Saccharomyces cerevisiae S288C: one gene and its partners. Changing the gene in region 1 together with any one later gene gives a genetic interaction. Each region holds a gene or a part of one and is shown on either strand. Other genes may lie near its edges. The genes, in order: SEC12, HRR25, SFB3 and CBC2.

Region 1 (5,990 bases):
TACTCACCTGCTCCCATTACAGCCAATTGAAATTGATTACACAGTACGCGTTGATAAAGCTTCCACTTATGGTGAGTTGGTTCTTGATATTGAAGTACCTGATGTCAACGCTCTAAAATTCAATAATACACAAAGAGAAAGTCAAATTGGGGCTGCTGAATTGAATGAAAATGCCAGGGAATTGGAACAAATCAAACCCAAGATAGCTTTACAGGACAAAGAAATAACGTCCGTTCTCTCGAATCTACACGAGAGCAACAAACGATACCGTTTCTTCAAGAAAATTAGTGAGGACCCAGTTAAAGCATTAAATGAATGCATTGCTTCTACCTCGAATGCTTTGAAAGTTTTATCGGGAGATGAGGGCTATAATGAAGATATGGTAAGGCGGGCTAACTTTTACAAGGAAAATGAAGCTATGTTGCGCGAGAATATAGAAGTCATATTATCAAATGGACGAATGTAGGCTTCTTTACATTGATACACAATAGACTGAAGATTTATGTAGTTTTCTTTGTATATAAACTCTAGATAGGAAAAGAAAGGTCACCATTCATTTATAATAATTAAAGACGAACAGACAATGCTGATTTGTTTATAGCGCCTACAAGTAATGGCGGCTGTCTGATTCCATTGTCTCTTTCTAAGAAAAGCGCTGAAAATTTTCTACTGGAAATTTCAGAATATGAAAAAGTAGTAGAGATGAGGGCCACTTAAACACAATAAGCATATAAGGAACCAAGGGAAAAGCAACAAATGAGTGCTAACAATGGTGTCACTGGCAAACTCTCTAGTAGAGTCATGAATATGAAGTTTATGAAATTTGGTAAGACGGATGACGAAGAGAGTTCCAACTCCAATACGCCGTCTAATATCAACTCAGATGTGGAACCTATAGAGCAGAAAGGTAAACTCTTTGGTCTGGATGACTCAGCGTGGGACCTCAATAGCTACAAAGATGATTTAAAAAAAATTTCAGGTAAGGAGAAGAAAAAGGTGAAAAGAGTAGTATATAAGAAGCGACCCAATCTCATAATCTCCAACGTTGGTTACAGTGAACTGCGAAAACCTGAGGGTGTGATAAGTGGGAGAAAAACCTTTGGCGATAATTCTGATGATAGTGGTTCCAGGAAGAGAAAGTTTGATGAAGGCGAACAAAATGAAGACGAGAAAAGGGATGCTAAGGATAAGGAATTTACAGGGAGCCAAGACGATGGAGAGGATGAATATGACCTAGATAAATTATTTAAGGATAGCATCAAAAAGAAAAAGACCAACCATAATGGTAAAAATAAAAATAGAAATTCAAAAAAGTAGCGCAGACAATGCACCAGCAGAAGTACGTATTCGTATATAATAATGAGAACATAATATAAAGCATTGTGTAGTATTTTTTTCGTATTTGTCATAAACCATAAGGACTGCCGTCCTTTCTATTACGCTCAATTCCAAAACATATACAAAAACATGTAAATACACCACTTCTAATTTATCAGATAAATCTCTATCATCAATATCATTGAGATCGTTTTTGTATCTTTGCGTTTTTTTTCATAGCTTGAGTGTCGTCACTCTCCTTTTCGCTACTTCATTATTGCTACCTCATAACTTTCTCTCAAGCTCAAGCATCATCTATTTCTCGAAAAGTTGCGTTGGTGATCTCAAACTCTGCCCCTCCAGTATTAATAATGTTACTTTCAGTACATAAGACTTCAGTTCCATTCACAGAACTCGTCTCATGCACGCCATGCACTTTTATGGAATCTACGCTAGGTACAGATGTTTTTGTACCGTGGTTGCCAAACAAAGTTGTTTGATGTAAGTCTTCATCAACTACGTAGGGCGAAGAGATGGTGTCTCTTTTCGTTAGAAAATTGTCCTTCGCGTAATTGAAAAGCATGGAATGCAAATTGTGCTTATAGGAGAACTGTAAAATGTAAGAAAGCAGCACAATAAGGATGAAGTTGGTGAAAAATTTAGAGATTTTTTGTTTCATTGAGGTGTAGTTGGCGTAGTTAAGCGGTAATTTTATTATGTGGATAGTGTTGGCTGCCGAAACACTCGCCACATATGTAGAGTCCGGAGAGATAGTGACCTCTGTAATGGCAAAACTATGAGCTTGTTTGAATATTTTAGACATTGACAGGTCTTTTAGTTTCACAAGAGCTATGGAATTGTCATTACTTGCCAGTACCGCCAATTCACCCTTCATGTCGACATCCATAGAAGTAATCCCTTTGAATCTGTTTGTCACTTGTTTGGATCTTAATACGGAAGTGTTTCCTGATTTGATGCTTATTTTGGTCAGCACAATACCTTTCCCTTTTTTTAAAGAGGCTGCTATCAATACTGTGTCATCGGCTATGAAGTTTATTTTAGATAAACTCCAATTCTTATCAAAATCTGTTTTCCTAGCAATGCAACTTCCAGTCACTGTTGAAATCACTTCCAAGCTAGAACCGGTGATATAAGCAACAACCTTACCATCAGTGGAAAAGTGTAAATCCTTTACTTCACCCCTAGTCTCGATCTCAAACTTCTCTGTCAAGTCGCTCGGGTCAATGATTCTCATTATAGCAGGTACTTTAGATGATGCGATAGCTGCAACGGTACCTTCTCGTGAAATATAAACCAGCTTCGTGTAGTCATCCGCATTTGTAGATGCGTCAAAGTCTACACTAGTGAGGAACTCCAATTGATCATTCACTTTATCGTATTTAAATTTTCTCAAGTGCTTATTACCTTTACCTTGGGTAATCTTAGTGCTATTTTCATTGCAGCCAACCAAAATGATACCCTTGGAAGCGTCAATTGCAGTAGGAGAGTCGTCGTTGTCTTCCAATGCAAACTCGCTCAATATATGAAACTGTTCCTTCTCAGTATCTTTGGTAGGATCCACGCGCAAGACCGTCAGCTTGTTTGGTATGCCATTGTTTCCTTCTCCTCCACCGCCTGCCACAAGTAATGTGTCGTTATTCAAAAATTTTGCACCGTACGCAGGATACCCGACGTTATAACTAGCTGTCACGAACTTCATAGTGGCTCGATTGTATCTCAACCTTGTTATATATCTGTATTTCTATCACGTATCCTTCTAGGTTTCTGTACACGTTTTTGAATTTTTTGGATTTTTTTTTTTTCAACTTTTCTTTTTTCCCTCATTCTTACTCTATTGTCATCACCATTCAAGATAAAGATAATAACTAGCTTTGAGAAATTAGACCAGACGCAGTGGAAGGTTGAATACATGCCTGTGTGAGGGTGGTGCCAATGACCAGTACATTACATACGACAAAAAAAGTGCTCTCCATTCAATCACACGTCATACATGGCTACGTGGGAAACAAGGCCGCTACGTTCCCACTTCAATACAGAGGTTGGGATGTGGACGTATTGAACACAGTTCAGTTTTCTAACCACTCGGGGTACGCCCACTTCACAGGCTTCAAATGCAGCACTGAGGAGTTGGTAGACATTGTAGAGAAGGGCTTGATTGGGTCTCTTAGAATCAAGTATGATGCCGTACTTAGTGGCTATTTACCCAATGTTCAAGCCCTGCAAAAGGTAGCAGGAATAGTGGGTCAATTATGTGAGGGGAGTGAAAACGTCAAGTGGATATTAGATCCTGTACTGGGCGATAATGGAAGGCTGTACGTGGATCGAGAATGTGTTGCGGTATACCAAGACATTTTACAAAACTTCAAAATTTTTTTGGCCACACCAAATCAGTTTGAAATGGAACTGTTGGTGGGGATGTCAATTCGTACCTTAGACGACGCTAAGCAGGCATTTAAACTATTTCATAAAAAGTACCCTCGAGTAAGCCGAATAGTTGTCACTAGTCTGGAATTATCTGAATTCCTGAGCAACGACACTTACGTAGTAGCAGGGTTTGATTGCTCGGCCAGTGAAGAGATATTCTTCTATGAAATCCCCAAGATCAACGCAAAATTTAGTGGAAGTGGTGATTTAATCAGCGCCATGCTCACTGACTCGTTACTAGGCGACCGCCGCTGCACACAGCTGTCATTAAGCGCATCCTTGGGCCAAGTGCTGTGGCTCGTCACCAGTATCCTACAAAAAACGTATGATTTAAACATAGCTGAGCGGGGCCCACAAGATTCCACGATAGATATCAAGGATTTAAAGCTGATTCAGTGTAGAGACATCCTAAAGCAAGATCTCATACCCTCCATTGGCAAGCCAAAAACCATTAAAATATGATTCTTACGAAACGGTATGCTCCTTCCTCATTGGGGTGCGGCTGCTGCAGGAACCTGCCTAAATAGGAAAATACATTCCTGATTTGGAAACTGTAGGCACACGACGCGTCCCTTTGGAGAAGATCGATCCTTCTTTGGGTCTTTCAATTTGATTGGAAAAAAAATATTTAAAAAAATAGAAGAAAAATATAGAATATATAGAATATATAGAATCAACTACTGCAGTAGATAAATAAAGAAGACTATTCATATTCAGTATCACAATTGAAAGATTATTACAATTTGTATACATTGGTTCCCAATGAAGAGCTTTTTTCTTTATCTTTATGTGGCATTCATGTTTAGTTGCATAACGGCTCTGCCATTACCTGTGGATAACAAAAGGGCTTCTTCAGACTCCTTAGACCTAAAGAAAAAATACGCACCAGACCCTCCTATTACACATAATGTAAACATCGGAATTGTTTTCACAGATCCTGAAAGTTCGGAAGAAGCCGGCCGTCTCATAACAATAGACTTATACGGGACTATGGTGCCCAAGACAGTAATGACTTTTTGCCAGTATGTTGATAGTGTAAAAGATCGCCTTGCTTCCCGTCACAGTTACTCGCCAGAACGCGATTTTGATAAAATTCTACCGAATGGAGCTATAGAAGGTAGCTCCGTTTCTTCCTCCTCTATTGAAGAAACGGAAATGTTGGCTCCAAAACTCCCGGAAGAAAATCATAGTTTAATTCATGATAGGCCAGGCAGAGTTTCCATGATTAAGGACGATAAGGGTCTTAAGTTTATAATTGAGACCAGTGAGACGCCACTTGAAGGTGAAAGTGTTGTGTTTGGCCAAGTTACCGCCGGGTTAAAAGATCTGATGGATAAACTAGCTAATGTGAAAACTGACGAAAATGGCAAACCAGAGCAACCAATAACAATAGGTTACATTTCATCCCAGGAACACAGGATTCAGCATGCAAAGGAAGCTCACGAAAAGTATTTACAAAGGCTTCAAGATTACCAAAACGGCGATTTGGAGAAAGGTATTACATTGAAGAATTATTTATACCAGGGTAGTCAAAGAAAGTTAGAAGACGCAAAATATAATCAGCTTCACCATCCTTTACCAAAGATTATGCTTGGTATTTCGGTATTGTTACTTTTCTACGTTTTGGCCAAGTACAGGAAAAGAATATTCAACAGATCGTCTAAAATAGTTTCTATTAGAGAGGATTAAAATGTTTCGATCCATCCGCTTAATATTCATTCATTTTGTATCACATACATACGTATAAATATACATAACTTACCTCGTCTTTATTATGCCAACCATCATTCCAGGGTTTTACGTAACAGTTCCTCTATGGATTCCTTTTCTAGGTACTTCCCAATCAGCACAATTTTACACTCTTTATTGGATCCGTCATATTTGCCTGGAAAGACATCGTAGGTGTCGCGGACGCCTTGGATTACACGAGCAATGGGGTTCTCTCCTTCAATAAGTATCAGACCTTTAGTTCTTTGTACTTCCCAATCACGGCCGTCATCTCGGCGACGCCCTCCCAGCACTGTCATGGCTCCAAAATTCTTCCACAATAAAGGTTGCAAAAATTGCTTAATAAACTTATTATTATATTCTTCCTCGTTTTTTAATGGTCTGAAAGTAAGCATTATTGTGCCCATTCGATCATCATGAATGGTACCGTTTCCGCTACCACTATCTAAGATGTCAGATATCCGTACACTGTCGTATGCATGAATATCTAGTAAATTTTG
Region 2 (3,578 bases), on another chromosome or scaffold:
TCCATACCGACAATTTTCAACAGTATGTGAGTTAACCTGAGTGAAGCTGCTGTTTGTGCCGGCTGTATATTTGCACAAACTTCCTTGGTATTCCGTCGTTATCGTCTCGTGATTGTTTCCTAATCAGACACTATAAGGCAAGTTAATTATCGAAAATACGAATTGATGCTGTCTTCTCAGAGGCCCTCCTTTAAAACCGTCCAATATTCGTGATTGATCTTCGATCGTTAGCCCTTTATTACATAAAAAAAAAACAAATTGGCCAAGAGGTGCTCCGCTCCCCCTTAATTTCCTTCCCGAAGAAAAAAATGCATAAAAAAAGTGGTTCTTTTAGCTATCATCTTTTTAGGTAAGAAGGCCAGAATTGTATATATTAACTCGATATGGAATTGTGTGTACGTATATGTAAATAATAATAATAATATATATATATATATGTGTGTGTGTATGTCTATATATACATATGTTTATTTTTGTGCGTTTTGAGCAATATATGTTGCTTACAACCAAATTGACTGGCCAGCTGGTTTATCTTGAGGCGGCTGTTGTGGATTAGATCTCATTTGTGGAGGTACAGATGCTTGATTAGTATTAAAATTATTGCTGTTTATTTGTGGGGGATACTGAGTAGCCCTGGTTGTAGCCATCGGAACTTGCTGCTGTTGCTCCTGAGAATCTCTTTGTTGCTGCTGTAGTAACGGTTCAGGATAATAATTTGGTCTTTGGCCATTTGGTTGCTGCTGTAGCTGTTGGGGCTGTGGTTGTGGCTGCGAACTTTGGACCTGCTGCTGCGGCTGCTGTTGTCTCAAGTTTTCCATACCTTTATCTAGTGCGTTCAATAATTCCTCTGGTAAAGAAGAGGCTGCATTATTATTCAAGATAGTTTGTTGTTTGATCTCTTCTGGTGAAGGATTATGTTTGTCTTCATTCTTGTAATAGTGGAAATGGGTGGGGAATTTCTTCATGGCTAACAGTTTAATCTTGTTGAAAGTTTCAGACTTGTTGTCTGTGCTGTTACTTGCACTTGCTGCATTGCTATTTGCGTTCAAATCACCTTTTTCGATGAGGAGGTCCCTTTGCTTCTCCACCATCGCCTTTGTGTAACGCAACATTGTCCAATCGAACAAGTGGTCGTTGTGATACTCTAGTTTAATACTCAGATCTTTAAACAGCCTTGCCAAGAACAAATAATCTGGCTTCTCATCGAATTTCAAATTCTTACAGTAAGCCATATATTCTTGAAACTCTAATGGTAAACCTGAACATAGAGTTTCCACGCTAACGTTTAATTTCTTTTCCATGATACGATCATACTTTTGTTTCTTGGTGGTTGCTTTCAAACCCTGCCATGGCAAAGAACCCTTACAAAAATAGATCAAGACATAACCTAGTGATTCTAAGTCATCTCTTCTACTTTGCTCTATTCCAAGATGCGTATTGACACTTGCATAACGAGCTGTACCTGTCAAGGACTTGTTCTCCCTGTAAGGAATATGACGATGTGTGTTGAAATCTCGGTATTTCTTTGATAGACCGAAATCAATAACATGAACGGTGCTACCACGGCGTCCTACCCCCATTAAAAAGTTGTCTGGTTTGATATCTCTATGAATGAACGACCTTCCATGTATATACTGAATACGGCAAAACATTTGCAAAGCCAGCATGATAACCGTCTTAAAGGAGAACCTTCTGTGACAGTAGTTGAATAAATCTTCCAAAGATGGGCCTAGAAGATCGATGACCATAGCATTATATTCACCCTCTCTGCCAAACCATCTGATGAACGGGATTCCCACACCACCGCTTAAGTATCTGTAGACGCGGGACTCATAGTCCAATTGAGGATGTCTGGACCTGATCGATTCCAGCTTGATGGCTACTTCTTCACCACTAATTAAGTTCGTGCCGTGGTAAATGTCACCAAAGGAACCACTCCCAATCTTCCTGCCAATACGAAATTTCCTTCCTACTCTTAAGTCCATCTCTTTTTAATGTATCCTTTCTATAAATATATCTTTTCTTTTTGGTTTTTTTTTTTGGTCGAATATGTCGTAACTTTTCGACTTTTTTTATCCTTGAAGTCTGGAAATATTTTTCTAAGTACCCAACAGAGGTTTAAAGATGCTACTAAGATGTGTTTTCACCACCAAATGCTTTCCTCGAGTGTCGAACCTTTCTTCTCTTTGTATTTCAACCACGTTCCATATATGTGGTCGTGTTTCAACTTTTTTTCTTCGTCTCCTTTTCCTCGTTGCACCAAAAATTCTCCAGAAAAAAAGAAATTCAAACGTGGGCTGCCTATTAGTAGTAAATACACAGACGGGAAGAAGCGTTGAAACAAAGCGAGAGTTGCAGTAACTCTTCACAGTGGTATATGATTGCCACGAAATAATCGTCGATCCAGTGGTAGTTATTCGTATATAGGAGCCTTTTATAGCAATTAGATGGTATCCATTTTGTGGTACTGTTGCGGGTAATCTGCATCACGTGACTATAACCTCTTTTAATTATATCTCTTTATACGCATGCCGTATCGAGGACAATACCGAATTGGTTTAGATCTTTTAGTATACAATTAAGGGAGATATAAAATTGGTGTTGTTGATGTTACTAGTGTTATTGATAAATAAGAAGTGTAAGATAACAACAAGGACACGAGGATGGTTGAAATTGTGGGCCACAGAGCTTTTAAAGCAAGATATCCTGAAAATACGCTACTAGCATTTGAGAAGGCTTATGCAGCAGGTGCTGATGTAATAGAAACGGATTTACAAATGACCAGCGATGGTATGGTGGTGGTAAACCATGACTCAGACACTGGTCGGATGTGGGATAAGAACTTGGTGATTGGCGAGTCGACTTGGGAGGAGGTTAAGCGATTGCGCTGCAAAGAGGATGGTTCCTTAGCAATGATGACATTGAAGGAAATTCTAACATGGGCAGTGTGCCATCCAGGAGCTAAATTGATGTTGGACATCAAATTTACCAACGAGAAAATCATCATGATCAAGACCTTTGTTATCATGTTAGAGGTTAAGAATGATCTTAAATTTTGGCAGGAGAGGATCACGTGGGGGCTTTGGTTGCTGGATTGGTACGATTTCGGTATTGAAACTGGTGTTCTGAAGGATTTCAAAGTTATTGTGATAAGTCTGTCTTTAGATATCGCCTCGCAATTTGTGAAGCGCTCTTTGACACTGAATGATCCTCACTATAAACTTTTTGGTATCAGCGTCCATTTTGTCTCCTCGTGGACAAGCCAATTTAGATTGAGATTACTACCTGTGCTTATGAAGAATGATATCAAGGTCTATTTATGGACTGTCAACAAACCTATAGATTTCAAATATCTGTGCGAATTGCCTATCCATGGTGCTATCACGGATGATCCGATCAAGGCAAGAAAGTTATGCGATGGTCATACCGTGGCGAAGAAGCCTACTGCTGAAAAAAAGTTTGTTGCGCCCAGTCTGGCATCTGTAGATGGGCTAAGATTCCATGCTTTTATCAAAGTTTATAACATCCTTTGCACGCTTCTATATTCCAAATGGGTCCATATTAAGTTGTGCGGTTGG
Region 3 (7,413 bases), on another chromosome or scaffold:
ACGTCGTTGAGCCTAGACCCATCGTAATGGGCCCATGGACTAGTTCAGTTTTCATTTTGGAATCGAACTGGGTAATATTTTTTGAATTCGGTTTAATCGCATCCAAAGTCGTAGTACTGGAATTGGCCTTATTGAATAAATATGCTCTATCTTGTAGTTGGTTCAGCGTCTCAGAATCGTCGTCTACTGTTTCCCTACCAAACACCTCATCTAAGGTAGACTTCTTACTTGTGCGGCCGCCTACTGTATTATTTGGACCATCTGCTGGGAAGGCCAGTACAGGCGCCACTTTATTATTCTTATTTCTCTGTGGAGTGCATGCATCAAAGGGGCCGTCATGATGGAAAGATCCGCCAAATAATCCTGTAACATCCATCTTGTCAATAGTGTCTACATTTTTAGGGGGCTTAACCTTGGTTCTGCTTTTGCTCTTCTGCTTATCTTTGTCCCTATGTCCGTGTGATGTACGACGATGGTGGTGGTGGTTGTGTTGGTGACTATTTGAACCACTACTGCGTTTCTTTTCTTTTGGGTATGGAGCTTGCTGTTTCGGTGTCCCCGCAGCTTCTTCATATGATGGGAGTCTTTCTTGTCTAGAATTGGAAACGCTACTGTTATGGGCCCTCCTAGTGTCATCTTCATTTAAAAATGGGTTACTGCAATAATTATGGATTATCTCAATCGATTTTGAAAGGAGAAAAAGAGTTAAGTTAGTATTCTGAAGTAGTCATGACTGTTAGTTACACTGTAGTGCAATTTTGGGAGTGGAGCTACACATACTTATAATTCCTGGGCGTTTCATCCCTGCTTGATACTCTGTCCTCTGAAGGAGAAACTCTGAAGGGGTTAATCACTGTATTCACGCCATTTTGAGGACCGCCTATGGTCCTTCCTGTTTGATTCATTTGCGTCTGTTTGATATAGTATTCTTTGGAAAAAACGCTTCTGAAATACAAAATAGTAGTAATTTTGCAAGATTTACCAGAAGACAGTCAAGAAAAAATAAAGATAAAAGAGGAAGCAAAGCTACAGTTTTATCCCTGTAATTATGAGATTCTCTCATCCTATGTAGAATTTCACCCTTTCTCTGCCTGCGTTTCACATACTGCCTTTTTTTTTTTTTTGGCAGTATTCTCAGCATAGTCAGCGTTTCGCTGCCGAGAGCCCTTCTGTGGCTGGAACCCCACCAAAACACGAACCCAAAAATACTTCTCCTGTATTCCCCTTGATCAACGCCTTTCTACATGAGGAGGCGCAGGTGAATGCAGAAAGGCACAATATAGCCAACACGTAAAAATCACAATCATATCAGTCTATTCATTCATTTACGTATTTAATTATTTAGTAATGGATATACGAACCGCATCGGCCACAGCCACAACAATATGTCGTTATTTCCAGTTTTCTGCGTGTAAGCACAGGGTCTCCTTTGAGCGAGGCTCAAAACTGCACAAATTTTTGATGGATATTTTCGTGAGTTGCGGCAGTCGAGACTTTAATGAAATCGTCTTTTTGAAGTTTTTCTTGAATTTTTTTATGCATTATCACCAAGTAATTGTCATATGATTCGATTCTGTTGACGGTCTTGTCCTCGCAAAGCAATTGACTCATCACATTACTGTAATATTGATCAACATTAGGCCTCAACAAGACTAACGGCAATGATGACTTGTTGACTACTTGTTGCCAGTTTTTAATGACGTTTGAAGCCTTTTGATTAATACTAGTGCCCGTCTCAGGCAATGTTCCACTAAATAACGAAATTTGGCTGACGGGCAAGGATTCATCCACTGACAGCAGGTCTTGCAAGAGCATTCTATTGGTGTTCTCATTAAACCATAGATAGATAGTATCACCTTGGAAAATCAAGTAGCAACCGCCGTTAATGAAATTAGAGTGTGAGGCTCTTACAGATAGATTATTAATAGAGCTGGAGTTGATCTGTAATAATTTATCATTAGCATCGTAAAAGGTCAGATCAGTTTCCTCTAATAATACATGGAATGGCACAATTTGTGGATAAAGTTTGTAGCAAAGTTGTGCTGAGTTCAATGAATCGTACTTCAATAAATCATAAATTCGTTCATTACCACGGGTACTTTGAGCGTTTGGCTTCATTAATTCGCTTTTTTCAAATGCTAACATGTAAGCAGGCAATGTCTTTATAGAATCCGGCAGTATCAATTGCGTTGATGAGTTACTGCTAACCAATCCTCTATATTGGGTCAAGATTTCGACCATCTTGTCATCAATTAATCTTCTGATCTTTACAAAGTCACAATCACCGAGCGTCTTTATGACATCTTTGATCATTATTCTCATGACAGGATTTTGATTTATAAACTTGAAAATTTCACGAATGTTATTAGATACCGCACCTGACGTGTTAATAGAACGAACTTTTCTGACACCATCAATATCAGTATATAACAATGCAGTTTGGAAATGAACATCGGTTCCTGTTTTTATTTTACTGTCATATTTTAGTAAGACATCTAAGGTGGTATCTCTAGTCAATACAGGAATAATTGGATCATGATCCGTATTATCAGATGAATCGCAGTAGTACTGTTCCACAGATAGCCCAGTAGAACAGCGAACTTTCAATAAAGCTTGATAACCAACAATATTGGAGACATTTGTAACCATGTCGTTAACCAAAGTGAAGGCATCCGTCTCTTGTTGAAAGTGGGGATAATATTTCAAAATACCGGAAGTCATCTCTACAGGATGGCCCACAGTGGCCATATCAATGAATCCCGCATTGGTCACATATAAATCTAAAGAAATGTAGGATTTCAAAAAATCCGATGCTAATTTCTTATAGAACCCATTGTCGCATTTAACATGAGCAATGTGTGCATTGTCCCTTTTTAGCGATAAATTCCCGTTGCCGATCGTTGGCAAGCTGTTCAAAGAACAAATAATCTTACCACCTTGCCCGCCAGTTACTGTGTCTAACGCTAATTTTGCGGCTTGTAAAGCAGAACCATAACAGACTTGGGGTACGTGACTATACTTGTCGGTGGAGATGTAACCACTAATTTTTATCAATGTGTCATTAATGATTTTCATCGAGTTTCCGGGTTTAACAAATAATCCATTATAAAATGGTAAGAAAACATCGTCCAATTCACTTACAATGTACTCTTGTGCATTATCTAAATCTGGTCTCAAATTAAAGAACCGCAACTTATTATCATAAACGATTATAGCAACCTCACAATTTGGCTGGAAATCTGAAATATACTCAATACATGACCTGACACCTTCCACCATGGCTAAAGAACTTCCGTTCTCATTAGCTAACAATGAAACATCAATCAAAAACACGTAGTGTAGTGGTAAAAGCTCCTTCTCCTGAATAGCATTGTAAATACTTGGCACCAAGAAATCGACTGTTCCGTGCAATAACTCTGATTTTTCGTTCAAATCACTTCGTTGCCCATTGGGACCCATGGGCGCAAAATGCTCACCTGGAACTTGCATCTTAACTCTACAAATATTACAAATAACACTTGAATCATAAGTGAACTGAAATTTAGGATTAGCATACGCACGACAACGTCTACAACGCAAAGGCGTACCATCCATTGGTAATGGAATTGTGGGAACTTCTGCATCATTCGGTGTCAAAGTGGAAAATGGTTGGATGGTTAATCCAAGTGGTAGCTTCGTGGCGGCTCTCAAGTGTTCACTTTCGGGGATGTTGTACATGGATAAACTCATCAAGTGCGGATCACATGAACCTTGGTCAACACAATAAAACTGGGTGGTCGGCAAGGGCGGAACAGAATCTCTACAAGTTTCGAAAGATCGTTGTAAATATTGAGCTTGATCTTCAAATCTTTGAGTTGGAACAATGTGAGATGTAGGTTGAGGCGCTGTCATATCAAGCATAGATTGACCATATGGCGAGGAGGCCTCACTCGCACCGAATCGCTCTTGACTCACCATTACAGGCGTGGACATAACGGAACCCGAACCGTTGTTGAAGCCACCAAATTGCTTAGGGGTAAAGGCTTGAGGTTGTTGAAAACCATCCTGCTGATTCAATTGGGGTGTAGTGTAGGGTGAATTGCCCAAAGTAGGAACAGTGCCCGAGGAAAAGTTATGATATGCTCTGTGAGGTCTTCTACTTTTTTTGGAAGATGCTCCGCCCGTATGCACAGTAGATTCATCAAGAGAGAGCGCTGAAACACTAGCTGCCAAAATATTCTGCTGAGACATGATGGTCCAATATTCTTCTGCAAATGGCCTCCTTAGTAACCCTCAAAATTACTAATTTCTTCAGTTGCAAGCTCCGATTTGGTTGAATCAGACCTAAGTTGTTACAGCGTACGTGTTTTTTTTATTTATTTATTTTCTAACATTTTTCTCTTTGGTTTTTCCAGTTTGATCGTTCCCACGTTGAGACGAAACGAAGGAAAAAAAAGAACATTTTTTTCGCATTGTGCACGGAAGGCTTCACCTTCAATAGGGCAAACAGAAGGACGAGCTGCATCACTTTTAGCCGCCACTAATCAACTCCTTCAGATAGATCGCCAGAACGCAAATAAGTGAAATTTGAAGATCAACTTGAATCAAAAAGCCAAAACTAAGAATTGTACGCTACTCTGCCAGACAATATTTTACGGACACGCGCATTTCAAGACAAAGCCATAATTCATGCCTTTTCAACTAGCATCTGGACGCCGCTGAGATCATAGGAACAAACAAAACGCACGAAAATAGCTAACGCACGTATCGAATACCAAATCAGTCTGCATTTATTGTACCCTCAAATTACAAATTCAACCAACAATTGTTCAAAAGACCACCTTGAATCTTGTGTTTCCTAATTTGGTAAGTGATCACGTGGTCAGACAGTTTTCCAGGTCAAACTGAAAAAAAAGCTCAAGAACCATTTTTCTTTAATAGCCTTTTTTAGTTGTATTCTAATAAACAACACCAACAAAATCGGAGGTATCACACGTAATTACATAAAGAAGATTAAATTCAGAGAAGATCTATCACACGATATCTCCATAGTTACAAAGAATACCGCATTTTGCCGATGTCACTCACTGAGCAGATCGAGCAATTCGCCAGTAGGTTTCGCGATGATGATGCCACTCTACAATCGAGATATTCCACTCTATCGGAATTGTACGACATAATGGAATTACTGAATTCTCCTGAGGATTACCATTTTTTCTTACAAGCTGTGATACCTTTACTTCTAAACCAGCTAAAGGAAGTTCCTATTTCATATGATGCGCATTCACCGGAACAAAAGTTGAGAAACTCTATGCTTGATATTTTCAACAGGTGTCTCATGAACCAAACCTTTCAACCCTACGCAATGGAAGTGCTCGAGTTTTTACTTTCAGTACTACCAAAGGAAAACGAAGAAAATGGGATATTATGTATGAAAGTGCTGACGACACTTTTCAAATCATTCAAATCAATACTACAGGACAAACTCGACTCCTTCATACGAATAATTATTCAGATTTATAAAAATACACCAAACCTTATAAACCAGACGTTTTATGAAGCCGGGAAAGCAGAACAGGGTGATTTGGATTCACCAAAAGAACCACAGGCAGATGAACTTCTCGATGAATTCTCCAAAAATGATGAAGAAAAGGACTTTCCATCGAAACAATCATCCACGGAGCCAAGGTTTGAAAACTCTACCTCATCAAACGGGTTGAGGTCATCTATGTTTTCCTTTAAAATCCTTTCTGAATGCCCTATTACAATGGTCACTTTATATTCGTCTTACAAGCAGTTGACTAGCACCTCGCTTCCGGAATTCACTCCTCTTATTATGAATCTATTGAATATACAAATTAAACAACAACAGGAAGCGAGAGAACAGGCGGAATCACGGGGAGAACATTTCACTTCTATATCGACGGAGATTATCAACAGACCGGCTTACTGTGATTTTATATTAGCCCAGATCAAGGCCACGTCTTTCTTGGCTTACGTATTCATTAGAGGATACGCTCCTGAATTTTTGCAGGATTATGTGAATTTTGTTCCTGATTTAATCATAAGGCTTTTACAAGACTGCCCTTCTGAACTATCATCTGCTAGGAAGGAACTTTTGCATGCCACTAGACACATTCTATCTACAAACTACAAAAAGCTCTTTTTACCCAAATTGGACTATCTGTTTGACGAACGTATACTTATTGGTAACGGTTTTACTATGCATGAAACATTAAGGCCCCTGGCTTATAGTACTGTGGCAGATTTCATTCATAATATAAGATCTGAATTACAACTAAGTGAAATTGAAAAAACAATAAAGATTTACACTGGATATCTATTGGATGAGTCATTAGCCTTAACTGTACAAATCATGAGTGCAAAATTGCTGCTTAATTTAGTTGAAAGAATATTAAAATTGGGAAAGGAGAACCCACAAGAGGCCCCTAGAGCAAAGAAATTGTTAATGATAATCATTGACTCATATATGAATAGATTTAAAACCTTAAACAGACAGTACGATACAATAATGAAGTACTATGGAAGATACGAAACGCATAAGAAGGAGAAAGCAGAAAAGCTCAAAAACTCTATACAGGATAATGACAAAGAGAGTGAGGAATTTATGAGGAAGGTACTGGAACCATCCGATGACGACCATTTGATGCCACAGCCTAAAAAAGAAGATATCAATGATAGTCCCGATGTTGAAATGACAGAATCTGACAAAGTGGTGAAGAATGACGTTGAAATGTTTGACATAAAAAACTACGCACCTATATTATTACTACCCACACCAACAAATGATCCCATCAAGGATGCTTTTTACTTATACAGAACTTTAATGTCTTTCTTAAAAACAATAATTCATGACTTAAAAGTCTTTAACCCACCTCCTAACGAATATACGGTTGCTAATCCTAAATTGTGGGCTTCTGTTTCTAGAGTTTTTTCATATGAGGAAGTCATTGTTTTCAAGGATTTATTTCACGAATGTATTATTGGTTTGAAATTTTTTAAAGATCATAATGAAAAATTATCTCCAGAAACAACAAAAAAACATTTTGATATATCAATGCCCAGCCTACCGGTCTCAGCCACCAAAGATGCTCGTGAGTTAATGGACTATTTGGCATTTATGTTTATGCAGATGGATAATGCCACTTTTAATGAAATAATTGAACAGGAACTGCCATTTGTCTATGAAAGAATGCTGGAGGATTCTGGGCTGCTACATGTCGCGCAATCCTTTTTAACAAGTGAAATAACCTCCCCAAATTTTGCTGGCATCCTTTTAAGATTCTTGAAAGGGAAATTGAAAGATTTAGGAAACGTTGATTTTAACACTTCTAATGTCCTAATACGACTTTTCAAATTGTCCTTTATGTCCGTCAATCTTTTCCCCAATATCAATGAGGTTGTTCTTCTTCC
Region 4 (5,146 bases), on another chromosome or scaffold:
AATTTTCTATGACTGATTTCGTCGCGCCCGGCGTTTTCTTGTCTCTTAATGCCTCCTGTTTCTGTTAATTGGTAAGATTATGTTAAATTGGTCAAGATATATACTAATACAATTTTTTAGTTGATCTTCCCACCCTTGTTTTCAAGCGATACCACGCCTATCCAGTGCTACTGATCGCTACTTGCCGAGCCCCTACTTTTATGCTAACAACCTTCGAGAATAGTTACATTCGAAGATGAATTATAACTGCGAAATACAAAACAGGAACAGTAAGAATGTTGACAATCAAGTCAGTCTACCCCCTATCCAAGTTCTATTTAACTCCATAGAAAAACGGAGTATGCCCGAGTTGGCATTTTCGAACATAGAATACTCGCATGGGAACCTTCGGTCTAGTACCGAGGAACAAAACTATCCTGCGCCTGTGTTACTTCCACAGCATCATTCGATTGCGTATCCCGCAATTAATTCTGGCGGTACTAGTACTACTGCTACTCCTACTGCTTCTACAGTTGAAACGTCCAAGACGAGTAGCAGTGCTATGGATACACAATCTCAATATGGCAGTTCAAAGAAGTCAAAATCGGCGTCCGATGATGCAAAGCCCTGCTACAAATCCGCCCCAATATATGAAATAATCAATAAGGAAAAGGATGCGGGGGCACAATACAACAGGCCATTTTCGGATTTTGTAGAATCTAAATCAAGGAGGAAGCAAAATTCGGGCAGGAGGTCTAACCTGCCAAAGGAAACAGTGCAGATACTGAATACTTGGTTGCTGAACCACCTGAATAACCCCTACCCAACTCAACAAGAAAAGAGGGAGTTGTTAATCAAAACTGGGCTAACCAAGATTCAACTTTCTAATTGGTTCATAAATGTGAGAAGACGCAAAATATTTAGTGATTACTATACCCTGGTAAACTCAATTCCTAATGACAACGCGAATAATACCCCAGTGGAACGAGTTCAAAACGTCTCAGCATATCATAACACATTATCTGCCACAAATAATACTATGTACGATGCTACGTCAACCTGCTCCACGGATTATGAATTATCCAAGAGATTTGCTCATGCCCCCGTTACACGCCGTAAAAAACTAATTGATAGGCTGGAAGAATTGAAAAAGCTATCCAACCCTGATATGAATTGATCACTTATCAATGCATTACTTAAATATTCATATAATTATATCTATTACCATTTACATTTTATCGTTACTATATATAGTATTATCATGTCATTGAACGTGTTACGTCTATTATGTTACACTGATTTTTTTTTTTTTTTTTTACATAACAGCATCATGCAAGCCTTTAAAAATAATGTAGGTATGTATATATACAATAATATATATATATATATATATATCTGTGTGTAGAATCTTTCTCAGATATAAATTGATTGATTCTACTGAGGTACGTAGTTATCATCTTCTCTTTCTTCATCGAAACCTGGTCTGAAAGTACCCATTGCATCAGGAGGAGGGATATAATTATTCGTATTAGATTGTGAGCTACTGTTATCAAATCTGGAATGTGGTACGCCGACACGCTCTGCAAATGGAATGGCGAAGCCACCTCTGGATGCATCAAAATCGAACCTCAATTCATCGCTGACTTGACCACCGCTCTTACCACGACCAAACTGTCTTCCATCTTCAAAACCAGGATCTAGATCAATGGTAATTGTCTTTTCGTCTAACTTTGTATCGGACAAATATTTTAAGGCATTCAATGCTTCATCTGGACAACTATATATAATAAAACAGAAGCCACATGGCGTGAACTTAAAACGGTCCAAACCCATAATTATTCTTTTTATTGTGCCACATTTACTGAATAATTCGTAAATTTGTTCTTCTGATGTATAAAAGGAAAGATTTCCTACATAAATTGTGGATGACTTCATCGACTCACGCAGTTCTTGTAGCCCGTTAGGGTTTCTTCTAGCCTTGCGCAGCAGGTACCTTGATGGTGTATCTAGGCGTTTAGTTGAATGATCATATTTAACTTCGTCAAATTCTTCCAGGGACATCTTTCCCTTTATTTATTGGTATATTAATGGATGCAACTTTTATTCGATATTAGTCCTTTCGGGACTTTAAAAGCTGTCGAGACACTTTCTCCATATAAACTCATGTTCTATATTCATACATATAATATTTTTCTTGAAAAAAACACAAAAACTGTTAAAGCGGGTAATACTTTGATAAGCACTTATTAACGTTTATACCATACACTACTTCATACACCAATTACAAATCTATTAGTGGTATACTTTTACTGTAGACAATGTGGATTTTGATGTAATTGTTGGGATTCCATTGTGATTAAGGCTATAATATTAGGTATATAGATATACTAGAAGTTCTCCTCAAGGATTTAGGAATCCATGAAAGGGAATCTGCAATTCTACACAATTCTATAAATATTATTATCATCATTTTATATGTTAATATTCATTGATCCTATTACATTATCAATCCTTGCGTTTCAGCTTCCACTAATTTAGATGACTATTTCTCATCATTTGTGTCATCTTCTAACACCGTATATGATAATATACTAGTAACGTAAATACTAGTTAGTAGATGATAGTTGATTTTTATTCCAACATTTACTGGTACAATAGGTGTATGATATTTTCCCAAAGTTTAAATTTATATAATATAAGTGGCTTGTGCATTAATGCTCTTGAACGAAACTGGATAACGAAAACTGCAAATACTTGTAGTTTTAAACAGACACTTTCTGGGATAGGTCTATCAGCGAAGCTTGGGAATGTTTCGCCAAATTACCTGTATCCTTTCATGAGCGTGAGCAGGTTTAGGTCATGGTCACATCTTATTATATAAATTCTTTCAGAAGATTGTCAATTGTCCATCTATCGCCATAGATTATCTGAGAGCGAAGTTCCATTATGTCTACTAGTAGAAAATAATTTGAAGTTGAAATATAATAGCATTACAAAATTTTTTCTTTATATAGTCCGGTCTTGAAGAAGGATAACAATATTAAGTGTATGAAGACACAAGAACTTTTTCTTGGAAATTTGGATTTTTATGGGAGGAAACCTACAGCGGCAATGTATAATTATGATTAGTTCATCCTTTGCTGCCATCTGTTCGCAATTATTCATGCAATTGTATGATTATTGTCAGGCATTTCAACTTCCGGTAGATTCGTTTGTAATAATAGGTGAATTTTGTGTTGACATTATCAAACCGTTAAGATAGTGTTAGTTGCCAATTAGCATTTGCCTCGATAGAATGTGACGTTAGTTGTGGTACTAGGAATAAAAGTTGATGGCCAAACATTTTTCCTGCACATTTCCTTCAGCGTTTTCAGAAAAGAGAATTTGAGTAAAAATATTTTTGATGTTTAGGTTACCAATATCTCATTAATATAAATTTGAAAACAATGAATTTTGGGTTATACTTGGAGTGCATTTTATTGTGGTTAAAGGCTACAATATTAGCTAAACAGAATGTACAAGTAGTTTTCCTGGAGAATAAAAGAATTCTAAAAGAGAATCGATAATTCTATACAATAATATAGTTATCTCTTCTTTCGTTTATGTACTGTCGTTCTTGTTTTATTACGTTATTAATCCTTGCAGTGCACTTTTCATGATGACTGGTGACTGTTTCTCAATTTTTACATCATTTTTTTTTGAAAACATGATGATATACTAATAATTTGGATACTAGCAATAAATGCTTCTTGATCCTCTATTCCAACAAAAAAGTAACAAGAGCTTACTGATCTTCGGTTTTTATTTTACCTTATCCCAAATATCAAATTGAAATATACCGATTGTTTTAATCCGTTTTGTTGTATATTATCGTAATAATATGCAGATAATATACATATATACGTATTACGCCGATTAGGCTGACACTTTAACAAAATTTTCTGTCCAATTATTGTCCGATATAGTGTAACGGCTATCACATCACGCTTTCACCGTGGAGACCGGGGTTCGACTCCCCGTATCGGAGTTTTCTTTTTGCTTCCTTCCGCCCTTCCAAGTTGTTGCATAATCTTATCTGTCAAAATATGAACGCTTGAAAACTATAGATTATAATTATCATTTATTTAGCCATAATGGAGGGAAGAATAATATGATTGCATATCAAAGGTAAAAAAAGTCGAGTAAATGACTTATAAACGTAAAAAATATATTGATAAAAGACATAAACGAGGCCATGAAGGTGGGAAAAAAAAAAATAACTGCATAATAATGTTAACTAAATGAAAATAAAATGAAAAATAAAATGAAAAATAAAATGAAAAAAACAAATCATAGGACAAAAAGTTTCCAAATGAAGGATAAGAGGCCTAAAAACCAATGTGCTTTCCAGGCAAAACCAATCTTAGCAACAGCTACACTTTGGTTTTGTATAACTTCTTTTTATTTTTCAATGCACGCGGCTTTAACAGTTCAAAGCTACACATCATACCCGTTGTAACGCTCATTACTGCCCCCCAATTATGAAATTCTCCACAATAATTTGGTGCTGAAAAGATTGTGACAAACTTTTTCCTGGCAAAGAATTCATAACCATCTTCTACGACCATATGTCCCCTAAGTATTAAATCGAATTTAAACTTAGCACAAAAATCAAGAACGTTCCTCTTAGAAAATGTGTATGAAACACCACGATCATTTTCTGACCAATCAGTTACTTGAGGGTCTGGGTCACTCCACAGTAAGTCTGTAACCAGCCCGCTTTCAGGAATATCCGTTGGTCTTGCGACTTTTTCGATTTGCTTCATGTCATGTAAATCGGGCGATATACCTCCATGAACGCAAAAGATCTTATCTTGAATAATTGCTGCTAATGGCAAAGTATTAAATACGTCAACGAACATTTTCCATACTTTCGAGCTCAATCGCCTTTTGCATTCATCATAGAAACCGTACATCTTTGTGACATTAGCAGATTCGTGATTACCCCTTAACATAAAAAAGTTGTCTTTGTACTTTATTTTGTAACATAATAACAATAGTATTGTTTCCAATGAGTTCTTACCACGGTCCACATAATCACCCAAGAACAGATAATTAGTATCAGATGGCACACCAGACAACTTCAAAATTCTCAATAAATCATTAAATTGTCCATGAACATCACCGA

The links.
Region 2: of SEC12 (region 1) and HRR25, a mutation in one rescues a mutant of the other (synthetic rescue), as found in Saccharomyces cerevisiae (3 studies listed by BioGRID, with this or other methods).
Region 3: mutations in SEC12 (region 1) and SFB3 are lethal when combined (synthetic lethality), as found in Saccharomyces cerevisiae (2 studies listed by BioGRID, with this or other methods).
Region 4: mutations in SEC12 (region 1) and CBC2 together harm fitness more than expected from each alone (negative genetic interaction), as found in Saccharomyces cerevisiae (2 studies listed by BioGRID).

What each region holds. Positions count from the first base shown.
Region 1 is NC_001146.8:671,653-677,642, forward strand, and holds SEC12 (Sar family guanine nucleotide exchange factor SEC12), read right to left. Parts: upstream 3,038-5,990; coding exon 1,622-3,037; downstream 1-1,621. Other genes in the region: SNF12 (Snf12p), read left to right, coding at 1-466; MPP6 (Mpp6p), read left to right, coding at 757-1,317; putative pyridoxal kinase BUD17, read left to right, coding at 3,271-4,224; peptidylprolyl isomerase family protein CPR8, read left to right, coding at 4,525-5,451; ZNG1 (GTP-dependent zinc transferase), read right to left, coding at 5,547-5,990.
Region 2 is NC_001148.4:162,683-166,260, reverse strand, and holds HRR25 (serine/threonine protein kinase HRR25), read right to left. Parts: upstream 1,986-3,578; coding exon 501-1,985; downstream 1-500. Other genes in the region: cAMP-dependent protein kinase catalytic subunit TPK2, read right to left, coding at 1-5; PGC1 (phosphatidylglycerol phospholipase), read left to right, coding at 2,664-3,578. UniProt on the Saccharomyces cerevisiae protein: Protein kinase which phosphorylates serine and threonine residues. Can use casein as a substrate. Phosphorylates elongator complex member ELP1/IKI3 on 'Ser-1198' and 'Ser-1202' which promotes the tRNA modification function of the complex.
Region 3 is NC_001140.6:297,705-305,117, forward strand, and holds SFB3 (Sfb3p), read right to left. Parts: upstream 4,231-7,413; coding exon 1,441-4,230; downstream 1-1,440. Other genes in the region: PAL2 (Pal2p), read right to left, coding at 1-656, 781-905; histone acetyltransferase TRA1, read left to right, coding at 5,057-7,413. UniProt on the Saccharomyces cerevisiae protein: Component of the COPII coat, that covers ER-derived vesicles involved in transport from the endoplasmic reticulum to the Golgi apparatus.
Region 4 is NC_001148.4:209,052-214,197, reverse strand, and holds CBC2 (nuclear cap-binding protein subunit CBC2), read right to left. Parts: upstream 2,041-5,146; coding exon 1,414-2,040; downstream 1-1,413. Other genes in the region: CUP9 (Cup9p), read left to right, coding at 236-1,156; PPQ1 (protein-serine/threonine phosphatase), read right to left, coding at 4,392-5,146.